3 linked regions of the Macaca fascicularis genome follow. The protein of the gene in region 3 interacts with the protein of the main gene of each other region in a pairwise test. Links are inferred from orthologs where the notes say so. Each region holds a gene or a part of one and is shown on either strand. Other genes may lie near its edges. The genes, in order: WBP11, ELOF1 and C6H5orf22.

The links.
Region 1: the proteins of C6H5orf22 (region 3) and WBP11 interact in binary tests that used the Homo sapiens proteins (3 or more experiments, as listed by UniProt). The two-hybrid records come from large-scale screens. The link is inferred for Macaca fascicularis from reciprocal best matches to the Homo sapiens genes C5orf22 and WBP11.
Region 2: the proteins of C6H5orf22 (region 3) and ELOF1 interact in binary tests that used the Homo sapiens proteins (3 or more experiments, as listed by UniProt). The two-hybrid records come from large-scale screens. The link is inferred for Macaca fascicularis from reciprocal best matches to the Homo sapiens genes C5orf22 and ELOF1.

What each region holds. Positions count from the first base shown.
Region 1 is NC_088385.1:17,580,448-17,584,798, reverse strand, and holds the start of WBP11 (WW domain-binding protein 11), read left to right. Parts: upstream 1-1,484; 5' UTR 1,485-1,628; intron 1,629-3,523; 5' UTR 3,524-3,568; coding exon 3,569-3,632; intron 3,633-4,168; coding exon 4,169-4,200; intron 4,201-4,351. UniProt on the Homo sapiens protein: Activates pre-mRNA splicing. May inhibit PP1 phosphatase activity.
Region 2 is NC_088393.1:12,127,368-12,129,689, forward strand, and holds the end of ELOF1 (transcription elongation factor 1 homolog), read right to left. Parts: intron 1,894-2,322; 5' UTR 1,876-1,893; coding exon 1,760-1,875; intron 1,610-1,759; coding exon 1,539-1,609; intron 1,339-1,538; coding exon 1,274-1,338; 3' UTR 588-1,273; downstream 1-587. UniProt on the Homo sapiens protein: Factor involved in transcription-coupled nucleotide excision repair (TC-NER), a mechanism that rapidly removes RNA polymerase II-blocking lesions from the transcribed strand of active genes.
Region 3 is NC_088380.1:32,142,216-32,145,871, reverse strand, and holds part of C6H5orf22 (UPF0489 protein C5orf22 homolog), read right to left. Parts: intron 1,945-3,656; coding exon 1,805-1,944; intron 1-1,804.

The sequences.
Region 1 (4,351 bases), on a different chromosome or scaffold from region 3:
AATTCCCATGAGGACTCTTTTAGTCTATACTGACAAAATTATTAATATGCTGTTGATGCCAGACTGCGTTTGTTATAGCTGATTCTCCCATCCAAGTACAAGAAATGTATTGAAATAAAAACTGCTCAGCCTATCTTAATAATATTAGCTACAGGAAAAATTTTAGCTACATGAAAGACTTTAATATTTCCAACAAACAGTTTGTTTTCTCTTTCTCTTCTCGCATTGTTTTTCAAAACGAGTTGCAAAACTATGACCACTAATATGGTGTTAAGAAGAAAAAAAAACAAGTTGCAAAATATTACAACTTAGTTCATCTTCAAAATTCAAGATTATTTTCTTTTTTATGTGTTACCTGGTTTATCAGCTTTAACCTACCAGATCTTGTCATTGCTTTCCGACACTGAAATTCAATCTAAAATCAAATCAAGAATTTCCTAACACAAAGGTAAGTTTAGGTATAGGACCGATCATATTACCTTCAAGGGCAGTTTAAAGATTCTGCCAAAAATTAATATGTATCTCCAACAATATTTTGAAATATTTATAACTGGTGGTAAGAATAGACTTCCTACAAGGGATAGTCTGGTTAAGATTAGAAATAACCAAGCGTACCCTCTAAGATAGTTTTTTAAATGTTTAAACTTACCTTTAAGGGAAATAAGTGGGGGCTGACTCAGGGAAAGAGGGGATAGTAGGTAAGGAAAGGGCAAAGGCTAGAGTTAAGTGAATAATCCTGTACGTAGAGTGACATCATAGAGGACTTTTGGCTGGTGAATAGACCAGTAGGGAATACGGCCAATATATATCAACCTTGCCACTCATAAACTTAAAACCGACTGCATATGTATCCCCGTATTTCTTCTTCAGAACACTACTAATAAATAATAAATAATAAATCACCGCCCGTATAAGCAATTTGCGACTCTAATACGGGTGCTGATTTATTTGTTCAGGTGGTCTACAAATGTTCTGTTCTGCGCGTCTATTAAATTTCCACACGTACCAGACGCCCACATGGGATAACCTGATGCTTACAAAGCGGATTAAACTCAGTAGCAAATGTTATCTGGGTATTCGTTTACAAACGGAGACACCCCTAAAGGATCGCACCTGCTTGCGTCATAAGAAACATAAAAATCCAAAAACTAACGTAATTCCAAGAGACACAAAACGCGGAACGCTTCTGCATCTGCAGAAAGTACCGTTCTCGGACAGATCAACGCATTACGCCCACAGCAACTAGGTCAGAACGCCTCCAACTTGAGAGACAGGACCGTCAGCCAATCAGATAGCAGCTATCTTCTTTCAATTCCTATTGTACTAGATGAGCGCAATGAGGCGGGCTCTTAGCCGACAACCAACCAATGGAGTATTGTATGGGACCGGAAGAGACTCTGGTCCTGGAATTCTTGAGTATTCTCTATGGTTCTAGGGCCGAGCTGCGCTAAGAGACAGCGGGACAGAGGAATGGGAAATGACGTAAGGATTGCGGAGGGGCGCGAGGTTTCAAGATGGCGGTAGCTGAGGGGTAGACCGAGAGGCCGAGTTGAAGGCCCTTACCAAGTGAAAGAGGCCGGGAATCGCCCCCTGCCCGCTTCTCGTAGTCCTGGGAGCACAGCAGAAGTGTGAGTGTATGGAGTTGCTCTACTTCTTTTCCTCACCTCTTTCGTCCCTTCCACGGCCCGCGCAGTGGCTTGGGGGACACCCAGTCCCTTTGCCCCGCTCCTCCTCTCCCCGGCTGGGGTCTCCCGGTTGCGGACTGGGGTATTCCAGGGCCTGGGGTGGCGCGGCGACCAGTGGTTACGCGGTTGGCATCGCCCGGGGCGGTTGGGGCCGCTTCCTATGCACGTTGATTGGTAGCCTTAGGTTTGACGTCTTGTACCTCGAGTCATGGTCGGTCAACCGTCACTATGGTTTCGGCAGTTGCTGGTGTTGCCTCCTTTGGTGGACCTGGACCCTATCCCATTGAAGGTTTTTTGGCTATTTACAGTTCCCCAACGGTTATTTGGCTTGATTTTTCCAGTCGCCCCCGCTTGTAGACAAAAAACTAATCTTTGCAGACTTAAGCTCCCGTATCTTCCGTAAAATTCTCTGTAATTCGTATCCGTTGTGTTTCATTTGTGGGGGAGGAGATTCAGAACATGAGCCCGCTTGAGAAAGGAAAGCACGAAAAACGCAGGCAATCAAAGATGGGAGAGCTTGTATTTGTACGAATTTTGCATGTTTTCTTCCTTCCCTACCTCCTACTCCCTGCTGCTCTCCCACCCACACCTCCACCCCCCAGTTTTTCTGAGAAGGAAACCACTTGACAGGGTATATGGTAGCTAGAGCAGGAATATGGATCCATTATAAACATTATAGTTAAATAGTGAGTCAAACATCACAAGATATTTTATTTGTAATCCCGTTGTATCATCAGAGCTTTGTTATAAAGTAATTGATGGCCCCATTTTTTAGATGAGGAAGCTAAAAATCAGAGCCTTTGACACCACCGTCTTGAAGTAATTGCCACCAGAACAGCTATGAAACATCTAGCTTTCTGAAACATCTGGCTTTCGGGGCAATTGGACACTTGGCGAAAGACACATTAACTGTAACAAACTGGTCTGAAAATCTTCCCTTTCTTCCCTTTAAAAAGTGTCTACTTGCAAAAGGAAACAAATTTGTCCACCTTTGTTACTGGAAAGAATGCTTCAAAAAATTAAGCCCCATTCTTTTGGAATAAGAGGAAGAAGTCATGTAATAGGGTATTGTGTTAATAAAAGTTTTAGCTTACAAAATATTTTTTCCTCAAACAAGAATAAGTATTCCCTTTAGTTACCTTAAGAAATATATATTGGGAGTCAGGTATTAGAAAAATATGTGTCTTAATATTTAAATTTTGGGGAGCTCTCAGTGTAGCACTAATTTCAAATACTTGCATTTTTAGTTGTGTTTTGAACTCTTGAGAGTCAAGCATTATATCTGAATTAAATATGCTTAAATGAATGAGTTTTTAGCGTCTTAGAAGTGTTGAGAATGTACAGCATACATGCCAAGAAAAACCATGGAGCGAGGCAAGAGTGAGGTGTTTGTTTTGAGCCTAGATCCATTACCCCCATTCCGTTCGTATTCTTCTTTTACAATTACGTGTTAATAAAGGGAGGTTATAGAAGAAGGACTAATGAATTCTGATGTTCATGGTTTGTGCCATATCGTTAAAGCATTTTCTAGTTGTTTTTTTATCAGTTGACAAAGTCAGCGCTGTGATCCATAAGAAAAAAGATAAAGTAATGACTTGAGGATATTCAAAGTGGTCTTCACACTCATCACATTTCCAAAGAATGATGAAGATCTAAATTTTCATGGTCAAGGAACTTAATGCCATCTTTCTTGGACATTAAAGTCAAAACTAAGGAAAGAACAGTCTCACAGAATTTCTAATTAAAGGAATTTTTTTTTTCAGAGATTGGTAGGGACTAGAAAAAGGAAGAAATAAATTTAGGAGATATAAGCTATTTCTTTGTCTTCACCTTCACAGGTTTTTCTTTTTTTAATGAACAAGTAAACCATACAAATTGTCAACATGGGACGGAGATCTACATCATCCACCAAGAGTGGAAAATTTATGAACCCCACAGACCAAGCCCGTAAGTGTCCATTAGTGTGGAATGATGAAGTAGGAGAGTGTTAAAAATTGCACATATTAGGGAATTTATTTCTCTGTGGCTTAATTACAAGACCAGCAGTGATAGGAGGAATAAATTGTATATTCAGTGTTTGGATGGGAACATTAAGACGTTAAACATGCAAAGAAATTAGTACCCATATTTTAGTTTTCAGATTTGATTGACTTGCAAAGTAGAATTGGCTGAAAGTTTTCTTTTTGTATTTGAAATTTTGAGCAAATTAGTTTTGCGAGCCCTTGTTTCGCATTTTATGTTATCTTTTTCTTTCAGATTCATAGTTGTTTTTTATGGAACATTAAACAAAAATGTCTTGACATTTTTGGTTGTCATAATTAGAGGGATGCTCTTGGCATGTAGTGGATAGAGGCCAAAGATGCTGCTGTTTTACAGTGCATACTATAACTTCCCACAATAAAGAATTACCTGTATGAAATTGAAGGAAATGCTAATGTTCAAGATTCAAAAATTTTATTATATCTCCCTCTCTCCTTTTAAAGGAAAGGAAGCCCGGAAGAGAGAATTAAAGAAGGTATGATTTCAGAGGCATCTTATAAAACTTTTAAGTACTATTTGGCACATCTTGTGGTTTGGGATTAGTGGGTTTCAGAATAACATTTCTAATATTTTCTAGAAAAGATGCTTTATGCTTTTTATAAAAACTGTAAGATATACTAAGCCAA
Region 2 (2,322 bases), on a different chromosome or scaffold from region 3:
TCCCTTCCCAGTGTCCCTCTTCCACCCACTACCTCCAGGACGGCCTGTGAGCTGGTCCCTCAGCCTGGACTCTGGGCTCACAAGAAGTCAGACTGTAAGTTGTGGAGCCTGGTTTCCTGGGTTCAGATCCCCCGTGCCACTTTCTGGCTGTAGGGTCTTGGGCCAGTGACCTCCTTCACCTCTAGCCTCAGTTTCCTCATCTTTGAACCTGGGGTTAGCTTGGCACCTGCCCCACAGGGTGGCTGTCAGGACACTGGGGTGATGCAGGCAAGGCCAGAGGTCAGCATCTGGCTAGAGGTGGCCCTACAATGTCACCGCCTCAGCCTGCCCCTCCCAGAAGCCTCCTCTGACCACCTGTTCTGTCTCACCTACCCCATCTCCTAATGTGACTGCTGTAAGCACCTGGCCAGATGTCTGCCTGCTCCGCCACCCTGAATGCTGACTGACTGAATAAAATGCTGGGCGGTGTGAAGGGCTGGTCACATGCGCCACCAGGCCACCTCCCAAACGCTGGAACCTCAGGTCCCCTCTCCTTCTTCTGGTGACGAGGCAGACGCAGAACCCAAGACATCACGGACAGCAAGGGATGTGCGCTGGCTGCTTTATTTAAGGGCTTGTGATTGACAGCTGTCCCCACCCCAGCCCTTGCTTCCTCTACAAAAGAAACTGAACACGAAACTGGGCTTCCTTGTTAGCATGGGGAGGGTGGCGGCTCCCTGTCAGGGCCCAGCCCAGGGACCTGGGGAACAGTGGCTTTGAATCCCAGGCCACGGGCACTAGAAGGTGGAGAAGGAGGGCGGGAAGTCCAGTTGAGATGGGCACGGTGCTGGTGAGGAGGCTGGAGAGGTCCAGTTCCAGCCTCTACTGGGCTTCCCTTGTTCAGGATATCAGGAAACAGCCCCCCACTTCCGCCGGGGGGGAGCCAGAGCCCCAAAGCTGGGGGGCCAGGGGCTGAAGAAGGGAACACAGCAAAGGCTTTTGGAGCCAAGAGAGGTCAGTTCAGGCCCCTCAGGCCCAGGAACCTGCCACCACTGCGTATCTATGAGCACACACTCACGGCCACCCCAGTGACACGTGCAGCCACACACACACCCACATCCACTCCACACTGGCACACACACCCACTCACACCCACGCCCACTCTACACACACACACAGAGGGCTGTGACAGCCCAGGACCCACACCCTGGACCCCTGGAATGTCTCTGGACCAGAACCGAACAGCTGGGTCCACAGTAGGCGGGGCTGCTCAGGGGGTGGGTCCTCTGTGTTGCTACTGATTGGCTGCCTCGCAGGCGTCTATCCAATCACTGTACACATCCACGGGTTCTGATAGATCTGAGCCGCTTAGGTCAAGGGTGATCATTGGCATTGGAACCCTGCCCTGCACCTTCTCACCCCACATAAATCAGTAGGTGGCACCTGTTCCTCTGGACGGCCTTGGCCCTGCACCAGGGCACACAGTGGGCCAGAGGAGCAGGGTCCGGACTCCAGCCCCCTCCCCATCCTCTGGAAAAAGCCCAGGTTTCTAAGGATACACGTTATGGGCGTCTGGAATTCCTCTAGGCACACAGTACAAGAGATGACTCCGGTGTTGCGGGCACGGTCCCTGAAACAGACCAAGAGAAGGGACTGGTGAGCAATGTGCCCGGGGCCTGTGGGTGATGACGCCTTCACCAAGGGAGGCAAGGGGCAGGATGGAGAACAGCGGGGAGGAGGTGGTGGGGAGGATGGATCCCTTGCCCCGTTCCCCACTCACATTTTCACATCACAGGATTTCTCGTGGTTGCAGAAGGGGCAGGTGAACTGGGTCTCGAGGGTGCCCGTCATCTTCTTCTTGGGAGGCGGCTTTCGTTTGGACTTTCTGCGCCCCATGTCTGCAGGTGGATGAGCCTGTGGGGAGTGGCAGATGTCAGTGGTTTGAGGAAACCACGCAGCCCCCCGCTCAATGCTCTAGAAAGCAGGCCGGAAAGAGGGTCTAGGACTTGCACTATGGTCTGGGGGCCTCTGCCCTTGAGCGACGAGGCCCTCAGTCCTGATACAGGAGGAAAATCCCCTGTTCCACTCTGGATGGAAGGGGTGAGCGGAGGTTCTAACCCCGTCTCTCTCACTTACTGCATGACCTGGGCAGGTTACTTAAGCTCTCTGTGCCACCGTTTCCTCATCCATAAAACAGAGACAAGGCCAGACATGGTGGCTCACACCTGTAATTCCAGACAGCACTTCGGGAAGCTAAGGTGAGAGGATCACTTGATGCCAGGAGCTGGATACCAGCCTGGGCAACAGAGTGAGGCATCATCTCTTAAAAAAAAAAAAAAAAAA
Region 3 (3,656 bases):
TCATTCTCTCTTTGCCTGCTGCCATCCATGTAAGACATGACTTGCTCCTCCTTGCTTTCTGCCGCGATTGTGAGGCTTCCCCAGCCACGTGGAACTATAAGTTAAATTAAACCTCTTGCTTTTGTATATTGCCCAGTCTCAGGTATGTCTCTATCAGCAGCATGAAAACAGACTAATACAGCCTAGAACTGAACACTTTATTATATAGAAAAGTATTTTTAAAAAATGCATTAAATATGAACTAAATTTTCCAGGAATGCAACTACTCTGTAAATTGGGGAAAGACTGGACTTTAACTGCAGATCCTTATGAAGAGACTGTTCAATGACTGAAAAATGTCATTATGGCAGTGCTGTTCATGGCATCTGGTCAACACATGGTATCTGCATTTGTAACTGCTACATTTACATCATGTAGTGTAACTGCTATAGTACATTTTTAACTGCATGTCTTAAATATGTGAGTCTAGTTTGGCATTTTAATATATTTTATTATCAATTACTTTAATTCCTCCTATGTGTATAGGTATTATGTGTATAGTAGGTTATATTACATATATAATGTATATTATCTATGTATATTATGAATATTATCTATATATATTTAAATTACATATAGGTAGGTTACATTATATGAGGTTTCAGAATGATAAAAGGATGTTACAAAATGTTTGTCATGAATTACATATTATTAGCCTGAGTACTTAAAGTACTTATTTCAGAACTTCATACTTCCATACAAAACCAGCCCAAAAATTAACATAGGAAAGCATTATTAAATTGTTATAACTATTCAGCAATTATATTCAAATTTAAAACATGGCAGCAGCTAAATATTAATTGGTAGGACACAGAAATGAGAATTCTTGTGTTCATCTGAATCTTACCAACTGCAAAGACAAGGTAACAATAACTACATTGTTTGCATATCATCACTAATAGGGAAGAGAAAAAGGCCAGGTGCGGTTGCTCATGCCTGTAATCTCAGCATTTTGGGAGGCTGAGTTGAGTGGATCACCTGAGGTCGGGAGTTTGAGACCAGCCTGACCAACATGGAGAAACCCCGTCTCTATGAAAAATACAAAATTAGCCAGGCGTGGTGGTGCATGCCTGTAATCTCAGCTACTTGGGAGGCTGAGGCAGGAGAACTGCTTGAATCCGGGGGGCAGAGGTTGCGGTGAGCCAAGATTGTGCCATTGCACTCCAGCCTGGGCAACAAGAGCGAAATTCCTCTCAAACAAACAAACAAAAAAAACCAGGGAAGAGAAAATACAACATCTAAATTTTGAGCTGAGTAGGTAAAAAAAATTGTATTATTTTATTAGTAATCATTACATTTACCTACAGAAATTTTATTAGCTTCCTACTGCCGCTATAAAAAATTGCCACAAACTTAGTAGCTTAAAGCAACACTAAATTATTATCATATACTTTTGGAGGTCAGAAGTCCTAAAATAAAGGTGCCAACAGGGCTGCATTCTTTTTGTAAGATCCCAGGCATAATCTGTCCCCTGGCCTTTTCTAGCTTCTAAAGGCTGCCTGTGTTCGTGGCCTCCATCTTCAAAGCCGGCAGGGCAGAATTTTCGAATCACTCTCTCTGATTCTGACCCTCCTGCCTTTCTCTTCTAAGGACCCTTGTGATTACACTGGGCCCACTTGGTGAATCCAGGAGAATCTCATCTCAAAATCCTTGAGTTAATCACACTGATAATTCCCTTTTGCCATATAATGCAACACATTCACAGGTTCCAGAGATTAGGATGTGCACATCTCTGGTTTGCCATTATTCTACCGAACACACTTACCTTGCAATTGTCACAAGAGTAGGATTTGGTAAATTTTTCAGTAAATAATGCACAGATTGAATAAGATACTCTATTTCTTGTTCTGTGCTGATGTGGTGAGGAAGTTCTGAATAATCGCAGGTTAAACCAGCCTGGTGAACCTGAAAATAAGACAAAAATTACACTGTATGACAATTGTTTTTATAAGCTTCTTTAATCATTAATGGCCTTATTGACAAATCTTTACTTTTATTGATACATAAAAGATGTGCATATTTTCAGGGTATATGTGATAATTTAATACATTCATACTAGCATATAAAGATCAAATCAGGGTAACTGGACTATCCAACACCTTAAATATGACAAACTTTTAATTTTTAATCTTTATGCTTTGGGATTATTTTTTCTCTAACAGTTTCTATGTCATAAAAGTTATCTGCTCTCTGAAGTGTTGGTAGAACTCACCTATATACTGTCTGGGCCAGATGCCTCTTCTTAGAATAATTCTTTACTTCTTTATTGTATGATTATTGGTCTTTACTTAATTTTGGTAATTCGCATTTTCTATCAAATTATCCATTTCATCTAGATTCTAAAAAGTTGAGGCCAGGCATGGTGGCTCATGCCTGTAATCCCAGCACTTTGGGAGGCTGAGGCGGGTGGATCACCTGAGGTCTCAGGAGTTTGAGACCAGCCTGACCAACATGGAGAAACCCCGTCTCTACTAAAAATACAAAATTAGCTGGGTTTGGTGGCACATGGCTATAATCCCAGCTTCTAATCACTTGAACCCGGGAGGCAGAGGTTACGGTAAGCTGAGATCGTGCCATTGCACTCTAGCCTGGATAACAAGAGTGAAACTCCGTATCAAAAAAAAAAATAAAAATAAAAAGTTGATACAAAACTGTACATAATATTCTCATCTCATTTTTAACACATTATTTTACTTACTTTTAAAATATTAATACATGCAACTAATACTATATTCCAAGCTTTGAGAGGATACAAGATAAAATATATTTGTCCTACCTTATTTAACCAACTGTTTTCTTGTGTATCCTTTATGTGTAACCATAGACTACTGCCATCTACATATGTGTTTTAAATTTAAATGAATGATGTCCAGTCTTAGCACTAAACTAAACTTGCCTGAAAGTTAGAAGTGGCTCACATGCTACCATTCTGCAACCTTAACTTTAATGTTTTGAAAAATGGAACTTAACTATGTCATAGTTTTGCCTAGAGTATACAAGTGCAAAGCATGAAAAAACACACTAATCAACTATTTTACTAGAGGCTCTGGATACACATCAACAATTTAACTGGCAATAATCAGTCAGTGTGATAAAAGGATGAATTCTGAATGTTCATTTTGCCAAAATGGTAAAACTATTTAGCGTTCTATCTCTGCAGCTGTAGGCACATCATAATTGATTATATAATATGTGACTGAACCCCAGCCATTCCCTGTCCCCCAAAAAACATCAAACCCACCCAGCGAAAAAAATCCAGATGCAATGTAATGATTAAAGCAGACCTGCCTGCAGACATATTTGATAATATTGTATGAGCTCAAAGCATTTTCTCTTTTTAAATATGACACAAAGTCTCACTCTGTTGCCCAAGCTGGAGTGCAATGGCACGATCTCAGCTCACCGTAACCACCCAGGTTCAAGCAATCCTCCTGCCTCAGCATCTCAAGTAGCTGGGACTACAGGCGTGTGCCACCACATCTGGCTAATTTTTGTATTTTTTGTAGAGACAGGGTTTTGCCATGTTGCCCAGGCTGGTCTCAAACTCCTGGGCTCAAGTGATCTACCTGCCCTGACCTCCCAAAGTGCTGGGATACAAGTGTGAGCCACTGTTCCTG